4 linked regions of the Arabidopsis thaliana genome follow. The protein of the gene in region 1 interacts with the protein of each later gene in a biochemical or structural test. Each region holds a gene or a part of one and is shown on either strand. Other genes may lie near its edges.

The links.
Region 2: the proteins of CUL1 (region 1) and IAA7 form a complex in vitro, tested with the Arabidopsis thaliana proteins (2 studies listed by BioGRID).
Region 3: the proteins of CUL1 (region 1) and RBX1 form a complex in vitro, tested with the Arabidopsis thaliana proteins (2 studies listed by BioGRID).
Region 4: the proteins of CUL1 (region 1) and COI1 form a complex in vitro, tested with the Arabidopsis thaliana proteins (one study listed by BioGRID).

Annotation. Positions count from the first base shown.
Region 1 is NC_003075.7:1,126,745-1,134,275, forward strand, and holds CUL1 (cullin 1), read left to right. Parts: upstream 1-1,770; 5' UTR 1,771-1,919; exon of another isoform or gene 1,920-2,013; 5' UTR 2,014-2,069; exon of another isoform or gene 2,070-2,114; intron 2,115-2,538; 5' UTR 2,539-2,570; coding exon 2,571-2,701; intron 2,702-2,787; coding exon 2,788-2,887; intron 2,888-3,061; coding exon 3,062-3,247; intron 3,248-3,329; coding exon 3,330-3,377; intron 3,378-3,466; coding exon 3,467-3,670; intron 3,671-3,758; coding exon 3,759-3,836; intron 3,837-4,036; coding exon 4,037-4,126; intron 4,127-4,208; coding exon 4,209-4,289; intron 4,290-4,411; coding exon 4,412-4,471; intron 4,472-4,551; coding exon 4,552-4,581; intron 4,582-4,685; coding exon 4,686-4,772; intron 4,773-4,863; coding exon 4,864-5,013; intron 5,014-5,086; coding exon 5,087-5,142; intron 5,143-5,328; coding exon 5,329-5,449; intron 5,450-5,541; coding exon 5,542-5,703; intron 5,704-5,788; coding exon 5,789-5,932; intron 5,933-6,014; coding exon 6,015-6,233; and 6 more. Other genes in the region: LD (Homeodomain-like superfamily protein), read right to left, coding at 54-147, 242-609, 739-869, 1,023-1,050, 1,344-1,508.
Region 2 is NC_003074.8:8,192,907-8,197,660, reverse strand, and holds IAA7 (indole-3-acetic acid 7), read right to left. Parts: upstream 3,056-4,754; 5' UTR 2,894-3,055; coding exon 2,655-2,893; intron 2,098-2,654; coding exon 1,844-2,097; coding exon of another isoform or gene 1,833-1,843; exon of another isoform or gene 1,587-1,832; coding exon 1,451-1,586; coding exon of another isoform or gene 1,447-1,450; exon of another isoform or gene 1,139-1,446; coding exon 1,077-1,138; intron 986-1,076; coding exon 945-985; 3' UTR 506-944; downstream 1-505.
Region 3 is NC_003076.8:6,956,132-6,960,116, reverse strand, and holds RBX1 (RING-box 1), read left to right. Parts: upstream 1-1,805; 5' UTR 1,806-1,895; coding exon 1,896-2,031; coding exon of another isoform or gene 2,032-2,085; intron 2,086-2,158; coding exon 2,159-2,209; intron 2,210-2,303; coding exon 2,304-2,363; intron 2,364-2,776; coding exon 2,777-2,848; intron 2,849-3,021; coding exon 3,022-3,093; intron 3,094-3,174; coding exon 3,175-3,212; 3' UTR 3,213-3,457; downstream 3,458-3,985. Other genes in the region: AT5G20580 (TMEM192 family protein), read left to right, coding at 42-126, 308-367, 521-580, 745-837, 1,022-1,084, 1,238-1,327; AT5G20560 (Glycosyl hydrolase superfamily protein), read right to left, coding at 3,736-3,985. UniProt on the Arabidopsis thaliana protein: Component of the SCF (SKP1-CUL1-F-box protein) E3 ubiquitin ligase complex, which mediates the ubiquitination and subsequent proteasomal degradation of target proteins.
Region 4 is NC_003071.7:16,671,951-16,677,611, reverse strand, and holds COI1 (RNI-like superfamily protein), read left to right. Parts: upstream 1-1,747; 5' UTR 1,748-2,125; coding exon 2,126-2,616; intron 2,617-3,301; coding exon 3,302-3,782; intron 3,783-3,957; coding exon 3,958-4,764; 3' UTR 4,765-5,119; downstream 5,120-5,661. Other genes in the region: AT2G39950 (flocculation protein), read left to right, coding at 1-854; ISA1 (isoamylase 1), read right to left, coding at 5,429-5,661. UniProt on the Arabidopsis thaliana protein: Required for jasmonate-regulated plant fertility and defense processes, and for coronatine and/or other elicitors perceptions/responses. Seems to not be required for meiosis. Required for the regulation of some genes induced by wounding, but not for all.

The sequences.
Region 1 (7,531 bases):
AACAATCTGCATATTTTTACAGCCATCCAGCTGCAAGTAAATTAATCTCGTACCTTCAGGATAAGAAGTAAGACACTTGTTTGCTCTTCACTAGCAGCTTGACTTAACCATGTTGTAAGTATCAAAACCCCTCCTTTTGATAAAAACCTGTGGCACATATAGAAAATGACTGTCAAGACGGGAATATAATAACAATAAAATAAAATAAGACAGTGGGTGAAAGAGAACCCCCAACTAGTACCAGATCAGCACAGAAGCATCTTGTATCTGCATGATCCACTCCATTAGTTTCACCTGGCCTGAAAATGTTTCCTCTTTACGCAGCAGAGAAAATATATTCTCAACAAAGTATTTGTCTGAATCGCTGATGTCAGGTGGAATATCTTCAGGTGGAATAAGTGCCACTGTTTCACCTTCACCCCAGCTTATAGAACATGCCTCCGGATGTATAGAGTTCAAGGGAACGGGTTCAACATGATTTGTGGCATTGTTATTTTCCGGAACACCATCATCTTGTAAAGCATGCGTATTGGACATAACTACTTTCTCCCTTGAAAGCCTCACCTGTTTCCTCACTCTTGTCTTTTGAGTAACAAAAAATTCTCGAACCTGCCATTGAAGAAAATAATAAAGAGACAAACCAAAGTCTCATGAGTACCTCAACATGACAGATCTAAACTGACATGGAATTCTAAAAGCATGGCAAAAAAGAGTACATATCATGTAGAAGAACAATACCTGGGCGACTGTGATGCCAAATAAAGCACTTATCTCCCGAGATTCCCTCTTACTAATAGCATCTTTAATTGCGAAAACTGCTTGTAGATACTTAACAGCCTTAGGATTCAACAAGTCTCTTGGCCGCTTTCCTGAAATATTTACAAATTCATCAGATACTAGGCATCGAGCACGTAAAAGTTGGGTATGCCTTTAATGAACCTAGAGAGCAACAATGAATTGAAACATTCTCTGTGATATACGTAATTATGCCAAAAGATCTCACGAATCCTAAGATGACTCACCAATTTTAATGGACAAAGCACCAGCAGCCTGAAACAACAAAAAAATTAAACAGATTAATGTCTTTAACAGAGATGATTACTTGATCAGAGAAATGACATATAAACAGTTGAAGCATCACCATTACAGTTCACAGAAGAAACGGAGAGGTCGAGCTATATGAATTTATACCAAAAACACCTCTAATTTTTGCTAGACTCAATACCCTTCAAAGAATTTATTCCAAAATCCGAATGACCTGTCCCTCTCAGCTTTGCCCATATCACCATACCCCAATAAAACACGAACTTTAGATACCAAAAAACATAGAAACAATAACCCACCATTTCTTGCGCAAGGGGATTAACGCCGGTAAGTTTGCATTGCGCAACGACGACATCTTGGAGCTGATCGATCTGGCTATGAAAAAGCACCTTCTGCGAATCCAATAGCTCCATTAAAGACTCCACCGAGCTCCCGATTTCTATCTCCTCCTTGAACGCGTCCATGGCCGCCGACGGAAAACTCGAAGACCAATACGCAAACCGAATTCAAAATGTGCATCAGGGAATTAAACTGAAACGTAGGACTCAGTGATTCGAATGTGTTGAAACGATAAATTCAATGAACATGGTTACCTAATTTCGGATTGTCAAAAAGCCGATTCGGGTTAGGGTTTGAGTAAGGAAGGCAAAATAAAGGGGCATAAAAGTAAATAAGTTACTTTACAAAGAAAAATTATAAAACGCAGCGTCTTGATGTAGATCTCTGAAAAGGTAAGAAATTAAATTTGTTTAATATTATACTAATATATTAGTTGACATAAAATAAAAATAATTAAATCTATAAGACCTGAAAATAATAGAATAGAAGAGAACGAGTTTGTTTCCTGAGATATCTTTTCACCGCCCTTCTCATAGGTCTCGTCTCTCTTTCTCTCTATTTTACGCTTTTTTCCTGAACGATTCTTAGGGTTTTGATTCTCTCTCTCTCTCGCTTCTTTTTCGATCGCAGCAGCTCTCGCCGATCCTGTGTAATCGGGAATCGGTAATCGTCAGGGTCTGTTTGGGGTACGGCGACGCGATTTTCTGATTATTAGGGTTTAAGATCTCGAGGTATCACTATTTCTGTCGGATTCTCGCTTGTTTTGTTCCATACGACAGTTGATTTTTTTATCATTCTGTTGATTGTTCGTCTTTCTAGGTTTTTATTTGAATTTTTGTGGGATCGAGATTGTTAGGGTTACGTCGGAGTCTCTGGATTGCGTTTCTACTGTGTAATTTCGTGTTTATCTCATGGATTGATTGTTTCTCGAGTATATTCTGATGCTTATGTCCTCGTTTGCGCACAATCTGATAGTTTGGGTTTGATTTGGGTGATAATACTCGTTTCGCATTCGATAATGTGGGTGTTAACGTGTTATTATAACCTCTGAAGAATGATAAATATTGTTGACTCTCTCGCTTCAGTCATTTCATTGTGTTGCTTAATACTGCTGTTCTAAATTTTGGTTTTCTCCTTGTTCTTTGGTTAACTTAGGTTGAGGAGAGCTTGAAAAGTTGTTTGTCAACATGGAGCGCAAGACTATTGACTTGGAGCAAGGATGGGACTATATGCAGACTGGAATTACTAAGCTGAAACGGATTCTGGAAGGATTGAATGAGCCAGCATTTGACTCTGAGCAATATATGATGCTTTATACGTAGGTTTTATACTTGTTTATTACCTTATATAGCGGTTTGGCTGTTTGTCCTGATACTTATGATGGGGAATTTATTTGATTCTCAGGACTATCTACAACATGTGCACCCAGAAACCTCCTCATGATTACTCACAGCAGCTTTATGACAAGTATCGGGAAGCATTTGAGGAATATATTAACTCAACAGTGAGTCTGATTGATATTTAGTTTCTTTCTTATAAACTTCTCGTTTTTACTACCTCTGAATTTTAAGATGCCACTTTTGTGCATGGTTTCATATGTCAAGAAGTCCTGTCCCCTCTTGGTTTTAAGTTGATTCAAACGGTTTTGAATGTTTGCTCTCTTGTTGTCTGTGGTTAGGTTTTGCCTGCGTTGAGGGAGAAGCATGATGAGTTTATGCTGCGGGAGCTATTTAAAAGATGGTCAAACCATAAAGTAATGGTCAGATGGCTATCCCGCTTCTTCTACTACCTTGACCGTTACTTCATTGCTCGGAGATCACTTCCACCACTGAATGAAGTTGGCCTGACATGCTTCCGTGACCTGGTATGGCATTCATTCCTGTGGCTTTATAGCTTTCAGTTGTATTGAAATATTTTTAACTTTTCCTTGATTCTGTTCGCTTCAGGTTTATAATGAGCTACATTCTAAGGTCAAACAAGCTGTAATAGCTCTTGTAAGTATGGCGTCAATATTGTTGTGCAGTTACATCCAACTCTGGCTTTTGCCTGATTCAAGGTCTAACATGACCTGTTCTTCTGTCAGGTTGATAAAGAACGGGAGGGCGAGCAGATTGATAGGGCCCTGCTGAAAAACGTATTAGATATCTATGTAGAGATTGGAATGGGGCAGATGGAGAGGTATGAAGAAGATTTTGAAAGCTTCATGCTTCAAGATACTTCTTCGTATTATTCTCGCAAGGCATCAAGCTGGATTCAGGAAGATTCTTGCCCTGATTACATGTTGAAGGCATGACTCGTGATATCATTTTCTAAAATTTGTTTTTATTTCACAATAGTTGAAATTATTTATTAACTTCTGTGCTTTCATGTTACAGTCTGAAGAATGTCTAAAGAAGGAGAGGGAGAGAGTGGCTCACTACCTACACTCAAGCAGTGAGCCAAAGCTGGTTGAGGTTGGTTATTATGCACTATGTAATTATGCCTGTACTTGTAGGTTTGATGAAGAAACCATAGATCTTGCATAAGCCTTGATTTTGAATTTTGTTATTTGTATTGAGATACTTTCCAGACTCTTTTTAAATGCGTAGTCCAGGCATACTTGATTTTAAAGATTGATATCTGTTTGACTTGTATAGTAATCTTTTGTATGCAGAAAGTACAACATGAATTGCTGGTTGTGTTTGCAAGTCAGCTTCTAGAAAAAGAACACTCAGGGTGCCGTGCATTGCTAAGAGATGACAAGGTAGAGCAAGTATTTTTGTTTTTATTGTTGAGTAGTTAGTGACTTAATTATTTCTTTAATGGTTATATTTGTCTACTTTCAGGTGGATGATCTCTCCAGGATGTACAGGCTTTACCATAAAATTTTGCGAGGCTTGGAACCTGTTGCAAACATCTTTAAGCAGGTTTATTACCTATCTTCATTCTTTTGTTTATGATTAGCAAATGGATAGTCTTTTCTTCATGGTCTACTTGCAGTCTCTTAATTACTGTATGACATTAACTGTAACTTGTTATTCGTTCACAGCATGTCACAGCAGAGGGTAACGCTCTTGTCCAACAGGCCGAAGACACGGCTACTAATCAGGTTCATATTATCTTACTTGTTATATTCGGATAACTCTTCTTTCTTCGTTTGTGATTGCTAAGATCGTTTTTATTCCACAGGTTGCAAATACTGCTAGCGTCCAGGAACAGGTAAAATTATAAACCGATTGTAGTAAAGATATATTGGAAATTAGAGATTCATTTTTTTTGGGGATAAAATTGCTAACGATTCACTGTCCTTTCATTATTTCCAGGTTCTTATCAGAAAAGTGATTGAACTTCATGATAAATACATGGTATATGTCACCGAGTGTTTCCAGAACCACACCCTCTTCCATAAGGTCTAATGTTCTTTCTGCGCACTTGTCATTTGTCTATCTTATTCATGTTTATGTTGTGTTACTAACCTAAGTTTATGGAAACATATTTTAGGCTTTGAAAGAGGCATTTGAGATTTTTTGTAACAAAACGGTTGCTGGAAGTTCAAGTGCAGAACTACTTGCAACATTTTGCGACAATATTCTCAAAAAGGGGGGAAGTGAAAAGCTGAGTGATGAAGCTATCGAAGATACGCTTGAGAAGGTACTTTTGTCAAACTGTTTTTTCTTTTTCAAGTCTCCAAAGAGTGGTCCTGAATTTTATAATGTTGTTACAGGTTGTCAAATTGCTTGCATACATAAGTGACAAGGATCTTTTCGCTGAGTTCTACAGGTTTATCTCCAACTTCAATCTTTCTTTATCTGTGGATCGACTCTTTTTGCTTCTACTCTTTGTTTTTCTTGTAATGTTTTGTTTTTACTAGCTTTTTGTGGAGATGCCTTGCAACAATATACAATTTGATTGACATAAGTTGGATTACTGAGTTGCAAGCCATTTTGTTTATGGTTTTGATTGCAGGAAGAAGCTGGCCCGTAGGCTCTTATTTGATCGCAGTGCTAATGATGATCATGAGAGAAGTATCCTGACAAAGCTCAAGCAACAATGTGGTGGACAGTTTACTTCTAAGATGGAGGGCATGGTTAGTTTGAGTGTCCCTGTGTTTCTTATTTTAAAGCGGTGCGTGCTCTGATGACTTATGTTTTCTATATAATTTTAATCCGCTGGTGACAGGTGACGGATTTGACACTGGCAAGAGAAAACCAAAACAGTTTCGAGGATTATCTAGGCAGTAACCCTGCTGCAAACCCAGGGATTGACTTGACCGTCACTGTTCTTACCACTGGTTTCTGGCCAAGTTACAAATCATTTGACATAAATCTACCCAGTGAAATGGTAAAAACTCTATTGATTTTCTTACATACCTGAAAAGGAGATTGTTTGCTTCTGATAGATCTAATTCGTTGATTCTTTGTTTCAGATCAAGTGTGTTGAAGTCTTCAAAGGGTTTTATGAAACGAAAACGAAACACAGGAAGCTTACGTGGATCTATTCACTGGGAACTTGTCACATAAACGGGAAGTTTGATCAAAAGGCCATCGAGTTAATAGTGTCTACTTACCAGGTACTGTATGTTTCTCAGAAAATACTGATATATATTTTCTATCTGTAAACGGACTCTGATGCCACGTTCTCTGTCTCTATAGGCTGCTGTGCTTCTACTCTTTAACACAACTGACAAGTTAAGTTACACTGAGATCTTGGCTCAACTGAACCTAAGCCATGAAGATCTAGTTAGGTTGCTTCATTCCTTGTCATGTGCTAAGTACAAGATACTCCTTAAGGAGCCAAACACCAAGACTGTCTCCCAGAATGATGCCTTTGAGTTCAACTCCAAATTCACCGATAGAATGCGCAGAATCAAGGTTTGTGACGTTAATAGTAATACTCAAAAGTCTGCAAGTTTATGTCATGTTTTACATATTGTTAATAACTAACATCAACTTGGGTGATTTGCGTCACAGATCCCTCTTCCCCCAGTTGATGAAAGGAAGAAAGTCGTTGAAGATGTCGATAAAGACAGAAGATATGCAATTGATGCTGCCATTGTCAGGATCATGAAGAGCAGGAAAGTATTGGGACATCAACAACTTGTTTCTGAGTGTGTTGAGCAACTTAGCCGAATGTTCAAGGTAAATTATACATATAATTATATTTATACAGAGACATTTGAAGATGCACGTGGTGATGAAACTCATTGGATTTGTGATGTTTGTTGCAGCCTGATATCAAAGCGATCAAGAAGCGTATGGAGGATTTAATAACCAGAGATTATTTGGAGAGGGACAAGGAGAATCCTAACATGTTTAGGTACTTGGCTTAGGGCAAAAAAACAACAACTATGGAAGTGGTTGGCTCATGAAAGGAATCTGCTTGTATATTTAGAAGTCCATATGGAGACTGTCCTAAAACAAATTTATCGCTTCATTTTCGCTATTTTTCTCTTTTAAAAAATATTCGGTCTGTGCTTTTTTTTTGGGATGCAAATTTGCCTTGTGGATTTTTGTTTCTTAAATATTGAATGGAGATGGAGAAATGGCCTTAATGAATGAATCTCTGCTTTCTAATATATTTATCCTTGATCATATTATTTAAGTTTTATGTATCTCTGTGTTATATTGACGGATGGGAAAGTCGTAACAAATAATATGAGATTTCTTATAATCGAACGCTAATGAGACAAAGATGAACCGACGGAAGGTGCCTTCCTCAATCGCCGAACATTAAAAATCATTGTAATCATCTACGTCATTAGCTATAGTCCACCAGAACCGTAATAGTTTCTGCTTAGGACCAATGTCTTATATTTTAAGCCGTTTTTCTGTTGTATGATGATCTGAAATATTATTGGGATACAAAGACGGGTATGTTAAGGTTAATAACAATTTTGAACGGGTTAATGGTGGAGCTGGTGGATTATATTACTTGATTCCAATGTGCTTTTTTCTTTCTTTTTTGGGTTAATATGAATTATGAACGGATCATCAAAGACGATATTTGGAGCCTACACAGAGAATGATATATACGACATGGAGAAATTCTGTTCATATATGTTTTGAGGTGCGGAGTCATTTTACTCCATCGAGCAAATGTTTCTCACTTTTTATTTGCTTGAGATTCTGTTAAACAAACAAAGAATCATGCCATTGCACTATGATGAAAA
Region 2 (4,754 bases), on another chromosome or scaffold:
ACGACTTACATAATTTATATGAGATTATTAATCTATAATATGAATACAATATATATATCTAATGATCCATCATCCATCCACCAGTAAGAACCATCAATAACTCGCAAGTCGTAACAAATTGTAAGTGAGTAACAAACATCCGAATATTAAAACTTTTATATCCTCTTTTGTAACTGTATCTTACTCACTTTTTTTTTAATAATGAAAACAAATTATATTGATTTCAACATATTTTTGAAATGATGACTAAATTAATCTTGTAAAGCCGCTACACATATAATCATCAGTTAGTTTAAAATATGACAGATTACGGACCACATGTCCCAAAAAATTAGGATACACAATTTATGATGAAATGACAACAAACCAACTTTAAATTCTACTTCTTATTTTTTTTGTGGGTTGTAGGATATGTTCAATTGTTCATTAAAGACTTCATCTAAAAGTCAATACATAATCAGAGTTTTTAAAACTAAAAAACGCTAGTAATGGTTAGAGAGTAGAATTAAAAAGCTAAGATTTTATTGGTAAAATAGTAAACATAACAACGAATTATTCATTTTGGGAAAAAACTATTAGATAACACACACAAGAAACGACAAGTAGCAGAGTAGGGATCAAAACACATGTACATGTACACACACCTACATACACACATTTATATGTATGCACATATCAAGTTGTGATTGATCATCAAACCGACAGACACATGTTGGGCAATAAATATGACACAAACACAGAGATATTGAAGTTTCCTCTCTTTTGGTCACATTACAAGTTTGTCCACATCTTACTGGTAAAATACTGCCCTATATACCCATCAAGTATTTAAAATTACAACACACATATATAGGTGATAGCCACATACAATCATAAAAATACATATAAAATCAAGAACCCGTCATATTGTTGATCATTGATGCTTCTTTTTTTTTATTATTAATTCAAGATCTGTTCTTGCAGTACTTCTCCATTGCTCTCGGAGCTATAACCAAGAAAACAGAATTATATTAAAATAAAAAGAAAATTGGTAAAAATTGAAAAACAAAAAAAAAAAAAAAAAGTTAGAGATGTACCAAGTCCAACTGCTTCAGATCCCTTCATAATGCGCAAACGTTTGCAAGACTCGACAAACATTCTGAAATAGGTATTCAAGTTTACGGTTAGAACATTAGAATATGAGTCGTTAACATTTAAAGTTTATTCTAAGGTTTTTGGCAATAATATGATGATGTGCCAGCTACGAATGAGCTCTAAACATATCGATACTATTGTATAATTTTTGAAAGATCCTCTTGTCTCTTGCCAACCAATGCATGGTTGTACGTATTTATAACACATGGATGTTGAATATCTTTGGCTTTGTCTCTACCAATTTCGGGAAATGTGGTTAACGAGTCAAGTTATAAGTTATAAAAAAAAGTATATGAAACGATTAAATTTGACTCACTCCCATGGGACATCGCCAACGAGCATCCAGTCACCATCTTTGTCCTCGTAGCTTGGCACATACTCAGAGCTATTCAGCAGATTCATTAGCTTGCTCTCGTTCATGAAATCTATCATTCCTTGTGCTCCATAGTTTCCTTGAAGATATTCAAGACATTCAAAAATCATATAAATTTATGTGTCATTATTGTGTAATATATATAATACATATTTAAGTTGTATACATTTAGCAAAATCTCATCTTGTTAATATGTATAGGGTTCGAATGTATAGTTCTATGACTCTAACTCGGTAAGGTTCATGAGTTTTGTATGAATAAATGTAGTAAATGATATACTTTAATATACGAATATAGTTTTTTCACACTTTCCGATTTGAAATTTCTAATACGTACCCATAGTAAAGGAGCTGAACATTTTGGCCAATGCATCAGAAAGATCCTGGTAGCTTTTGTACATCTTGAGGTCAACTTTCCTCAGATATGGAGCACCGTCCATGGAGACCTTCACCAAGCCGGCTCCGGCTGCTCCTCCACCAAAGTTCCCGGCCTTCTCACTGCTGGCCTCCTCCGCACCACTACTGGTCTTCTGCTGAGTCATCATGTTCTTCCTGTAGTTCCTCACAGGTGGCCATCCCACCACTTGTGCTCTACATAGAACAACATTATTTAGATAGGTGTATATCAACCAATGTAATTATTAGTTACCATTACTGCCTTTATGGGCTTGATTGTAAGTTATAACATGTATTATTTCATGTTTGCTTGTACGCATGTATGTATTGGTGTTTAAGTTTCAACCACGCTTTAATTATTATTATATTATTTCTTAGTATTATATTGATAGAAAACAAATATAACTTCAAAGAATCAAAGTTATGCATATAAATTTTAACAAAAAAAGGTAATGTATATGGGAAGTATATATATATATATATATATATATATATATATATATATAACTAACATTACAAATTTCAAGAATTTTTAGTTTATTCATATGTTTATGTAAATCCCTCACAATATTTATGTTCTGCGAGGACATATAACTATGAAATTTATATATATTCGAATATTCTAAGAACTTAGACATAGATGTGTATAAACACGTATATATGTATATATATGGACTGGAAAAAACTAAGAACTTTTTAACCAAAAAAAAAAAAAATCTAAGAATATATATATATGTAAATGTGTAGCTTACTTAGCAGGAGGCTTAGAAGGATCTTTAAGGGTAGTCTTCTCCTTGGGAACAGCAGAAACGTTTTTGAGATCAACGGAGCCTTCTTTGTTAGATTGAAGATTGAGCATGAGATCAACGGTTTCGGAGAAGCCTCTCTTGCTTCCCACCGCCGATTTGGCAGGACTCTCAACTGCTTCAGCGCCGCCGGGGAGGCCGAGACAGAGCTCCGTGGCCTTGAGGTTCATAAGTTGGCCGATCATGTTACTTGTAATAGATTAGAAATATTGTTTCTCTCTCTGAAAAGGTAAGAGGGGAAGAAGAAAGGAGAGGAAGGGGCAATAATAATATAAGGAGGGAGGATGGTGGTGGGGTGTATGTATTCGTGTAATTGCATGTGCATGTCTTTTGCTCTTTTTTCTTCATTGGTGGGGTTTATGACACGTGGGCTTGATTAGATGTTAGTTAATCATTTCTTCTCTGTTACTACAAAATTAAGCTAAGATAATTTTGTTTTGTTAATCTTCCATCTAGAAAGTTTTGAATGGTGACCGGGAAATTATGTTTTAATTAACTACGAGGATCAGGTCACATATTGATCATGATATGTAATGTAATTATTGTAGAACCGCGAAAATCCGGAGAGAAAACTTTGAAAACGATTACAAAGATTCCAAAAATATGATCATTCTTATTTTTGTGACAAACTTCACTGAAAAACTCGCCGAAAAGTTAGCCGGAAATACTTTGTAAAATTGAAGTTCCAACAGTTACGTGGTAGTGATGTTTTGTGATACTATCCGAATTCAAATAGTATGTATGAAGTCAAGTTATTCTTGACAATATATATATATACATATATGATATATTTTATAAAAGACTTTGGTATGATAATAAAAAGATGGGACATATTTCTCATATCTTACCAATTTGAAGAAAGAGATGATCTATGAGAATATTGAGAGCAACATATCTCTTACATAACCAAGTCATCTTGCTCCAATAGTAAAAGAGTGAAAAAATTTGCCACTTGAGTTCATGTAATATTGGCCATCATGGTTCGAATTCTAACATTAGTTTTTCCGAATCTCATAATTGGTGTTTGGATCTAAAAGTATTTTAGCATCATCTTTGTTATCAAAAAATAAAAAAAAAGACATATATATCTCTCACATCTTACCAAAATTTACATGTAATGTTTGCTTGACTTTTCGTATCTAATAGTCGGACTAAACCAATATGGGTCTTTTGACTCTGACGTAGTACTTATCATCGACAAATTTTCCTAAATAGCACATTAGATCACATATATTGGTTGTATAATTGTGTTCAGCATTTTTACTTAGAAATATATACAAACAAACTACAAAAAGTTTTGTTTGTTCTTCTCGTACGGTTCTGACATTTTTTTTAAATTTATTTGGTTCTGACATTAAACATACATTATAGTTCATAGTGAGCTACATCGTCTATTCTGGAGTTTCAGGATGTAGTTTGTTTATAAATTTGTAATGGTTGGGTTAGGTCATGTAGTTTTAAACATATTTCAGCTGGTTCTACCACTCTGTGTAGCTTTAGTATTTTAGCATTTGTACTATGACTCTATGAGTCAATACAAAGCTAGCATATAACTAGGTAGTATATAATACTTATATAGTATGAAACGAATTCAGATTGTTTGTTAAAGAAGAAAAGAATAAGTTCTCACAACATGTCTATATATAAACTATGAATGTATTAATTACTTCTATGTTTTGTTAATAGCCTATTTGTTACACTTTGTCTCCTCTGGTCAACTGTTCATCGCATATAAAGCAAGTGGAATTGGGCGGTGAAATTCCGTTAACCAAATTTGGTCAACATTCTAATTAGTTTGTGTCAAGCAATACAACTATACAAGTCACGTATATTATTTTAATTGTTTACGGTCTCCCGTTTTCTCTGTATCATCTTGGTTATTAAATGTGTCTTACTAAAAAATTAAAAATAAAAGAATAGTACTACTCATTAATAAGCATAGACATTTGTGGTATATAAACAGAGAATCTATTAATTGGTCTAGGTACATGTTCTTAGTGAGGACACTGAGTGAAGACTGACATCGATTTTCTTCTTCCCAACATA
Region 3 (3,985 bases), on another chromosome or scaffold:
AATTCTCAAGTCTTACTTCGTTTTTTTTGCTTGAAACACAGATACCATGAAGCCGGTCGCCTTTCTGATCAACAAATGGCTCTACTGCAATATCAACGCGAGAATCTCCATTATCTCAGTGAAGAGGTGACAATCCATGGAATATTTATCATGAGTACTTCATTTCTGAATCTTGATGCTTGTGATGTTTCTTACTAGTAATTCTAAGTTCAATGCTCTCTCTAGCTCTTCATTGTCTACCCTAATTTTCTGAATTTTCCCATGCTTTCGTTAGAGTGAGTCTCTGACCTCTCTTGTTTTGTTTCAGATTCTGCGTTTGCAGGAGTCCTTAAGTAAATATGAAACGAATGGTAGTAGCACGCCTCAGGTTTGAACTGCTCCATTCTGAATTTTTGACTTCTTTTTATCAGCGTGTACACATTCTAACAACATTCTTAATAAATTTTCTTAAAAGTAATGTATAACTTTTTCCTTCCACTGGGATTTTAATTTTTGCATTTGATAAATGTTAAACTTTCAGGTTGATCTGGCGCATCTTGTGGCAACTCGAGATCAGGAATTACGAACACTATCTGCTGAGGTAAAGCTCGGTTAACAAATGATAAACTTGCAAATTCCCATGGTTAATTTTTCTTTCTCATCTCTCTTTTACCCATTTGGTGGAAAACATATCATAGTTGATTGACATTTCAAGGCTAGTATCCTTGATGTAGCATCTTTAAATGAAAATTGTGTGTCTTGCAGGTGGATCAACTCCATTCAGAGCTTAATCTCGCTCGATCTCTGATCTCTGAGAGAGATAGAGAGATACAACACGTCCGGAATACCAATAATCAGGTTCGAGTCTATCTATAAACATAAGAACATATGAGAACAAAACATACTTTCACAGCATCACATCATGTTTATCATCAACACAGCTTTACCATGAATTGTTTTTGCATCAAACAATTTGCAAGGGCTACACATTTTTTCTGATCCCTGAACTCATCATCTTTTGTTTTTGAAACTCCTGAAACAGTATGTAGCAGAAAATGAAAGGTTAAGAGCTATTCTTGGAGAATGGAGTATGCGAGCTGCAAAGGTACAATCTTCTCTTCTCTCTCTCTCTCTTCATTGTATGTTTTAGAGATGCAGCAATATGATAGTGAAAAATCTTAAGCCAATATCGAGTTTATCGAATTCAAACCCTTTTGTTTACTATGAGAGGCTAAACCAAAACCAACGGATTGTGTAGCTTGAACGAGCTCTGGAGGTGGAGAGAATATCAAATATTGAACTGCGGAAGAAAGTTTCAGCTCTCAGAGACCAGAGGCAGGTGGCATGAAGCATATACATCATCTAACTATATGCAACTCTTATGGCTTGTAGAAAAATATCTTGACACTATTTTCTAACATCTTGATGCATTGAATACGCTAAGCTTTTATGATGTAATGATTTTCCAGTTAATTTGAACTAAGCGTATGTAATGATTAGTTAATTAGTCATATAGTTATTGTAAATCTTCTGGGAATAGTTAGAAAAAAATATATATATATGTTTTTTTTATTATATAAAATAGATATTTTCCGTAATCTTTTTGCTTAAAAATATTTAATTTATCAATTAAATAAATAAAAATCGTTGGGATAATAAAGGAAAAATTAAAATATTTATGTAAATCGTAGGATGAGTAAGATTAAAAAAAGGAAACCTTAAACCGAATTATGGAAATTTACGGGAATCTAATTCCGACGAAAGCCCACTATACAGGCAAAGCCCAAAGCTGCTTTATATATCTCTCTTCTTCTTCCTCTACAATCTCTCTCTACAACAAAATCAGCGACAGCTCAAACGTTGATATTTTTCTCCGGCTTTTCTAGGGTTTAAATTTTCTTTCCGATCAGAGATTAATGGCGACTCTAGACTCCGACGTTACCATGATTCCTGCCGGAGAAGCCTCCAGCAGCGTAGCCGCGTCGTCTTCCAACAAGAAAGCTAAGCGATTCGAAATTAAGAAGTGGAGCGCCGTTGCTCTCTGGGCTTGGGGTAACCTCGAAAATCCTTATACACTATCTTCAATTGGTCTTTCGATGTTTCGATGTTTGTGTTACGATGTTAATTTTTGGTTAGGTTAAGAGTTTTATTGATTGATTGATCTTTGTTTTGGTTGCAGATATCGTTGTTGACAACTGTGCGATCTGCAGAAACCACATCATGGATCTTTGTAAGTCTTAAAACAATCGATTGATTTTGGAATTTGTAACGATGATGTTGAATGTTTATGCTTATTTCGTTTTTGTGTTTTGGTTTGTTGTTAGGTATCGAGTGTCAGGCTAATCAGGCCAGTGCCACAAGTGAAGAGTGCACTGTAGCTTGGGGTAAGCATTTTTCTTCTTCTATGATCATGATCTCAATCGTTGCTTTTTGTTTGGAAACTTGATTTGGTTTATAATTGTAGCTATCGTAATTGTGAATCTAGAAACACAAAACTGTATGCGAAAGTGTTGTGTGAAACAATTTTAGTATCTCTGAGTGCGTGTTTTAAAACTTGACATTGAATTTTACTTATGTGGTAGTATCACTCTGATAGATGTCTTTGCTTTATTTGAGAGCAGACCCTGTTCCTTGTTTTGCAGCAATCTAGATTGGTCGATGAGTAGTACAGTTGATTAGATTTATGGAGTTTTAAAGATTTTCTGAGAGAGAGAGAGACCAAATTGTAGTTATTGTGTTTACATGCTTTCATAGTCTTGCAGTTGATTGTACGATTGATGATGAATTAAAAACTCAGAGGACGACCAAAATAACTGCAATAAGTATTTCTGTATTCTTGATTGCTCAATGAAAGATGACCACTTGGAGGGTGAATCTTGTTAGCTAGGAAGTATTAGAGAAAGTAGGAAGTATTCCTTTAAGATGTATGTGATTGTGTGATGACCTTTTCGAATCTTTTTTCTATAATGTGACAACTCAAGTGGATATACATAAATTATTTAGTGCCTTCCCTAACGAAAGATACTCAATATGTACTTGCAGGGGTTTGCAATCACGCCTTCCACTTTCACTGCATCAGCAGATGGCTAAAGACTCGTCAAGTTTGTCCATTGGGTATGTGTTTCTTGGTTTTAAGCTTCTTGACTAGTATGCAGTTTTTGTTTGTTTGCTAATATTGCTGAGTTGTTTCAACAGATAACAGTGAGTGGGAGTTTCAGAAATATGGTCACTAAATCAACAAATGGTTCCAGCAAGCATGTGTCTAATCGTGAAGACATCAGGTTCATTTGGTTACCACCGCATATGATAACTAAAGATTGTTCAAGTTTTTGCCCTTTTTTTGGTACTGTATTTTACAATTTGTGGAAACAGAGATTTACTGTTCAGTGTTCACTAAACCTATTATGGTTGTGCTTTGGGTGACGTCTTTGATTTCAAAATTAAAAAGTAAAAATCCTGCAAAGAGTTTTTTACTCGTAAAAAAACATAGGAGCTGGGTACCAAACGCTCTTTTGATCCTCAATTGTGTTTTCCTTCAATTTAGTAGTTCCAAATACTAAAGTGAAATTTCTAATAAGGCTAACTCGAAACCCACTTAGATTATAAACCATAAGTTTTATTAAATGGGTCTTTCAACCCCTAAACAAACAATACTAGAGCATTATTTTGACAACACAGATTCTTAAGAGAAACAGTAAAAACTGACCACTTGAACACAACATCGAGGATCAGAAGAGCGTGTACATGGGCGTCGTCTCAGTAAGGATCGTATAACCCAAAATGCTGATAGATTCCAACTGGCTTCTGGTTCTCATTGTACGTCTCAAATATATACGCATCAATTCTACTATTTGGCCTCTTAGGCGTTCCTTTACCACTTGCAACATGCTTCACAAAGTTACCAATGTACGTATATTGAAGAGCCGGTGTCGTCATGCCTCCATTCCCGGCAGAGGGCCACCCGGTCTCCGACACCACCAAAGGTAAACCTTTCACTCCCTCTTTC
Region 4 (5,661 bases), on another chromosome or scaffold:
ACAGTGAAGGCCATTTCTCAATCTTTGATAATTCATCCATTACCTCTATCCCCACCAATGTAGAGGGTTTTATCCAGTCAGAAGGAGAAGTTGAAGAAGCTACTGAGAATTATAATGGAATCAGACAAATTATTGCTTTTGAAGAAGCAGAGTCAACACCAAGTACAATGACCGGACCTCCCCCATTTCCTTTGAAGATGGGTCCACCAGTCTTTTCTCCTTATTATTGCTGGTGCCCTCCAACCACTTCATCGCTTCACGCACCATCTGCCTCTTATCAGTTCCCTCCACTATCCATTGAGCTACCTTCCCTTCCGCCACTTTCCTCCTTATTACCAGCATCGGGATCAGATGGATTCTTGATCCCGTCATCACCGCTCGATCTCTCTGACATCCCTCCATTACCATTAGTCCACCACATACCCATTCCAGGCTCATCATCATCATCATCCCAGCAACAGATGATGATTCCTATAATGTGCGACCCTATTGTTCATATTCCAGTTATCGATATCTTCTCTTCAGGTCAAAGCTATCTGGTAAGCGCTGGACCCACCGGGATAATATCCACGGGCATCCCTCCGCTCCCAGTGGAGAATGATTCGCTGGTCGAGAAAGGTGCAAGAGAAACACTACGATTGCTCATAAGCGGAGCCAATGCAACAACATCTACACCTTTGAACCATCATGGAAGCAGAGGTCTATACAGTGTGAGCCGGGATGTGAGTGGTGTGAGCTTGTTTGCACCTATTGGGTTGCAACAACCGAGTTCAGTTGAGGGAGGAGATGGTGGTGGTGAGAGTGTGAGCTCAAGCGAAGCAGTGCCTGCGCCTCCCAGAGAGACTTCTGGTTAATTTTTTTGGTTCTTTGTAAGTGTGGTCCGAGTTAAGTGTATAGAAAACTCATCTCTCGCCTAGTTTTTGGTTTTGTTCAGCCCAAGTCTTTTGGTTTCAGGTGTAATTAGTCGGGTTTTTTGTAGCTTGCTTATATTACCTTTGTTATTTCCGAGTTTCAAATGAAGCTAAGAAATACGATCATAATAAAAAAGTTCTTTTGCAGTATTCATTTTCTTTCATGGTTCCCTCCTTATTCATAGTCATTGTTGTTCTTTCTAATACTTTTCCTGAGCTTTTTTTTTCTATTGGAAAAACTTTTGTCACTGAAAGAAATTTCAATGTGATTGGTTCTTTTCGCAACTGTAATAAGCACTAAAAGTTAATAATTTGCTGCTTTTTAAGTCTTGTTGCTGAATGATTTAATCCCAAAGACGTTAAAAAAAAGACATGTAAATAGTCTTTGTTCCAAAAGTACCATTTTGAGCGCTTTCTTTCGACAATTGATGTTGAACTTGTACCAAATAAACCTTGAAAATCATACATCATTAAATGTAGTTTTTTGTTATATACTTATATTCATATGGTCCATAATATATAGTTAACCATATTATGGACCATATAAATTCATGCAGTCAACAACTTTTTTTTTCCTCATTAAAAGCTACTAATACTGTAGAAAATTTTTATCTTACAAAAGAAAGGAGAATTATTGTATTTTTATTTTAATCACATATAAAGCAACCAAAGATAACATATACTAGTATTTAGTATTTTTAAATTTTTTGCTTAGGATTCAGGTTATTAATACTCTATAAAGAAATAATTAAATCTATCCATCGAATAAATCACACAGCTTATTGGATCAGTTAAATATTCTAATAATATTGTCGTGTAGCTGAGATCTGACCACTGCAAAAATGAAAAGAAAAACATAGAAGTAGAGAGAAGATCGCATCTCGACCGTCAACTTCAGTGTATGAAATAATGATCGTCCCACTTGATCCTCAAAAATATTATTAACCAAACAAAATTTGATTCCATCGTCCCACTTTCTTCTTCTTCCTCCCAATCCGCCTCTTCTTCCTACGCGTGTCTTCTTCTCCCTCACTCTCTCAATCTCTAGTCTTCTCCGATTCACCGGATCTTTCCTTTCTTACTTCTTTCTTCTCACTCTGGTGGTTATGTGTGGATCTGCGACCTCGATTTCAATTCGAAGTCGTCGGTTTCTTCTCTAAATCGAATCTTTCCAGGATTCGTTTGTTTTTTTCTTTTGTTTTTTTTTCGATCCGATGGAGGATCCTGATATCAAGAGGTGTAAATTGAGCTGCGTCGCGACGGTTGATGATGTCATCGAGCAAGTCATGACCTATATAACTGACCCGAAAGATCGCGATTCGGCTTCTTTGGTGTGTCGGAGATGGTTCAAGATTGATTCCGAGACGAGAGAGCATGTGACTATGGCGCTTTGCTACACTGCGACGCCTGATCGTCTTAGCCGTCGATTCCCGAACTTGAGGTCGCTCAAGCTTAAAGGCAAGCCTAGAGCAGCTATGTTTAATCTGATCCCTGAGAACTGGGGAGGTTATGTTACTCCTTGGGTTACTGAGATTTCTAACAACCTTAGGCAGCTCAAATCGGTGCACTTCCGACGGATGATTGTCAGTGACTTAGATCTAGATCGTTTAGCTAAAGCTAGAGCAGATGATCTTGAGACTTTGAAGCTAGACAAGTGTTCTGGTTTTACTACTGATGGACTTTTGAGCATCGTTACACACTGCAGGTACACTTACTTCTCAGTATCTTGTAGCTACTTTGGCTCGATGCTTTTGAGGTTTAGCGACTCCTTATCATTTCCTACTTTGACTAGAACTCTAGATGCATTTGGCTCTTTTTAAAAAACTTAATAAGTCGTCGTTGTACAAAGAACCATATCTTGAGTTTGTGTTTGTAAAGATTTGATCTTCTTTAGCTCAATTGGGTAAGTTGTAACTTTGGTGGATACTTTTTGTCCTTAATGAAATTGGTGAACCTTACTTCATTTGATTTCTTAGTACACTTTACACTAAGAGTAATATAAGCAGAAACATTTATTTCAGAAAGTTTCAGTATTTAGGCGTTCATGTTTGTCTTATATCCTTAATTGCTTTGCAACTGTTATGCTTGCTATTAAAGCAGAAATTGCAATGATCTTCAGTTATTTCTCAATTGGGGAAGTATAAACTTTGATCCGGATTTTATCTACAACCAATTTTTTCCCTCTTTGGGGAACATTCACTTTGTTTATGCATAAATAGCAAAAAGATTGATTTCTGACATCTTCAGTCTGCCAGAGTTTATGTGTATTATTTGGTTTTTGAATCCTTGATTCGGCTGCTGCTGTTCTTCATATTCAGTTTTAGCGGGAAATCCAAATATCTTGAGTTGTTTCTCACTTTATTCATGCAACTGTCTGTTGTCTTGTCCAGGAAAATAAAAACTTTGTTAATGGAAGAGAGTTCTTTTAGTGAAAAGGATGGTAAGTGGCTTCATGAGCTTGCTCAGCACAACACATCTCTTGAGGTTTTAAACTTCTACATGACGGAGTTTGCCAAAATCAGTCCCAAAGACTTGGAAACCATAGCTAGAAATTGCCGCTCTCTGGTATCTGTGAAGGTCGGTGACTTTGAGATTTTGGAACTAGTTGGGTTCTTTAAGGCTGCAGCTAATCTTGAAGAATTTTGTGGTGGCTCCTTGAATGAGGATATTGGAATGCCTGAGAAGTACATGAATCTGGTTTTTCCCCGAAAACTATGTCGGCTTGGTCTCTCTTACATGGGACCTAATGAAATGCCAATACTATTTCCATTCGCGGCCCAAATCCGAAAGCTGGATTTGCTTTATGCATTGCTAGAAACTGAAGACCATTGTACGCTTATCCAAAAGTGTCCTAATTTGGAAGTTCTCGAGGTAAACGTTTAACTTTGCTGTCTTTACTACATACTTGGGAATGCGTCCTTAGTACTAAATTGTGTTCCTATTTTTTCACGAAATATTTGGGGAGATAAGGGATATGAATGCAATATTGGTTCTCTTTAGTCTTTACATCTATATAAGACTGACAACACTTGTTGTTTTTCTTCAGACAAGGAATGTAATCGGAGATAGGGGTCTAGAGGTCCTTGCACAGTACTGTAAGCAGTTGAAGCGGCTGAGGATTGAACGCGGTGCAGATGAACAAGGAATGGAGGACGAAGAAGGCTTAGTCTCACAAAGAGGATTAATCGCTTTGGCTCAGGGCTGCCAGGAGCTAGAATACATGGCGGTGTATGTCTCAGATATAACTAACGAATCTCTTGAAAGCATAGGCACATATCTGAAAAACCTCTGTGACTTCCGCCTTGTCTTACTCGACCGGGAAGAAAGGATTACAGATCTGCCACTGGACAACGGAGTCCGATCTCTTTTGATTGGATGCAAGAAACTCAGACGATTTGCATTCTATCTGAGACAAGGCGGCTTAACCGACTTGGGCTTAAGCTACATCGGACAGTACAGTCCAAACGTGAGATGGATGCTGCTGGGTTACGTAGGTGAATCAGATGAAGGTTTAATGGAATTCTCAAGAGGCTGTCCAAATCTACAGAAGCTAGAGATGAGAGGTTGTTGCTTCAGTGAGCGAGCAATCGCTGCAGCGGTTACAAAATTGCCTTCACTGAGATACTTGTGGGTACAAGGTTACAGAGCATCGATGACGGGACAAGATCTAATGCAGATGGCTAGACCGTACTGGAACATCGAGCTGATTCCATCAAGAAGAGTCCCGGAAGTGAATCAACAAGGAGAGATAAGAGAGATGGAGCATCCGGCTCATATATTGGCTTACTACTCTCTGGCTGGCCAGAGAACAGATTGTCCAACAACTGTTAGAGTCCTGAAGGAGCCAATATGATATGACCCAAAAAACAGGTTTGTATATAAAGATTTTTAGTCTCGAGTTTTGGGGTTTCCACAAACTGTGTACTATACTACTTTGGTTCTTTTTTTGTTTCATGTTGTGTCGTCGATGTTTTTGGGAGATTACATAGAGTCAGTCTTGTTTGTTGTATGGTCATTACTTCTTTATTTTTCCTCAGGGGTCTGTTTACTTTAATTTCTTTAATAAAACCCCGAAGATTTTGAGAGATTTCTTTATCGTCCATGGTGTTGACTTCTGAGAGCTATATTTGTTTGGATTGGCATCTGAAACTTTATTTGTGGTTGTGATTGTTTTGATAACATTAGTAAAAAGGCAAATAATAGAGTACTAATAATCATTTATAACTTTATAGATGAAAACTTTGATTTCTTGTTCTTACACGAATTCTGAAAACGATGTAACAAGCTTTTGATTGGATTAACAGACGATAAAGGAATCTATTAACAATGAGTGGGCATATCTGAAGCCGACCAAAGGTACCCCATTCAGATTCTTCTAACCATAAAAGGAACCTTTACTATAATACATTATATAGGTAACGAAATAGTTGTCTGTATATGCATCTCATTCACATTTGAGAAGATTCCTTCATATGTTGTGATTTTGTCTAATACGCTTTTGGAGGAATCACGCAAACTCAGGGGTCTTTAATTGGTGAAAGAAGGAGAATGATGGATGAGTAACTGAGCATTGGGTACACATTTGCATCTAAGAAGTGCCTATACTGCTTCATCGCCGTTTCTCTCTCTGGGAGATCCGGTGTTATGCAGTCGTAAGGGCTCGGTTTGCTCGTGTCTACAAATGGCTCCCATCGGTATCCTGGCCTATTCGGTAGCGAAACAAGTGTGGCTAAATGACTGGTGTTGAAGG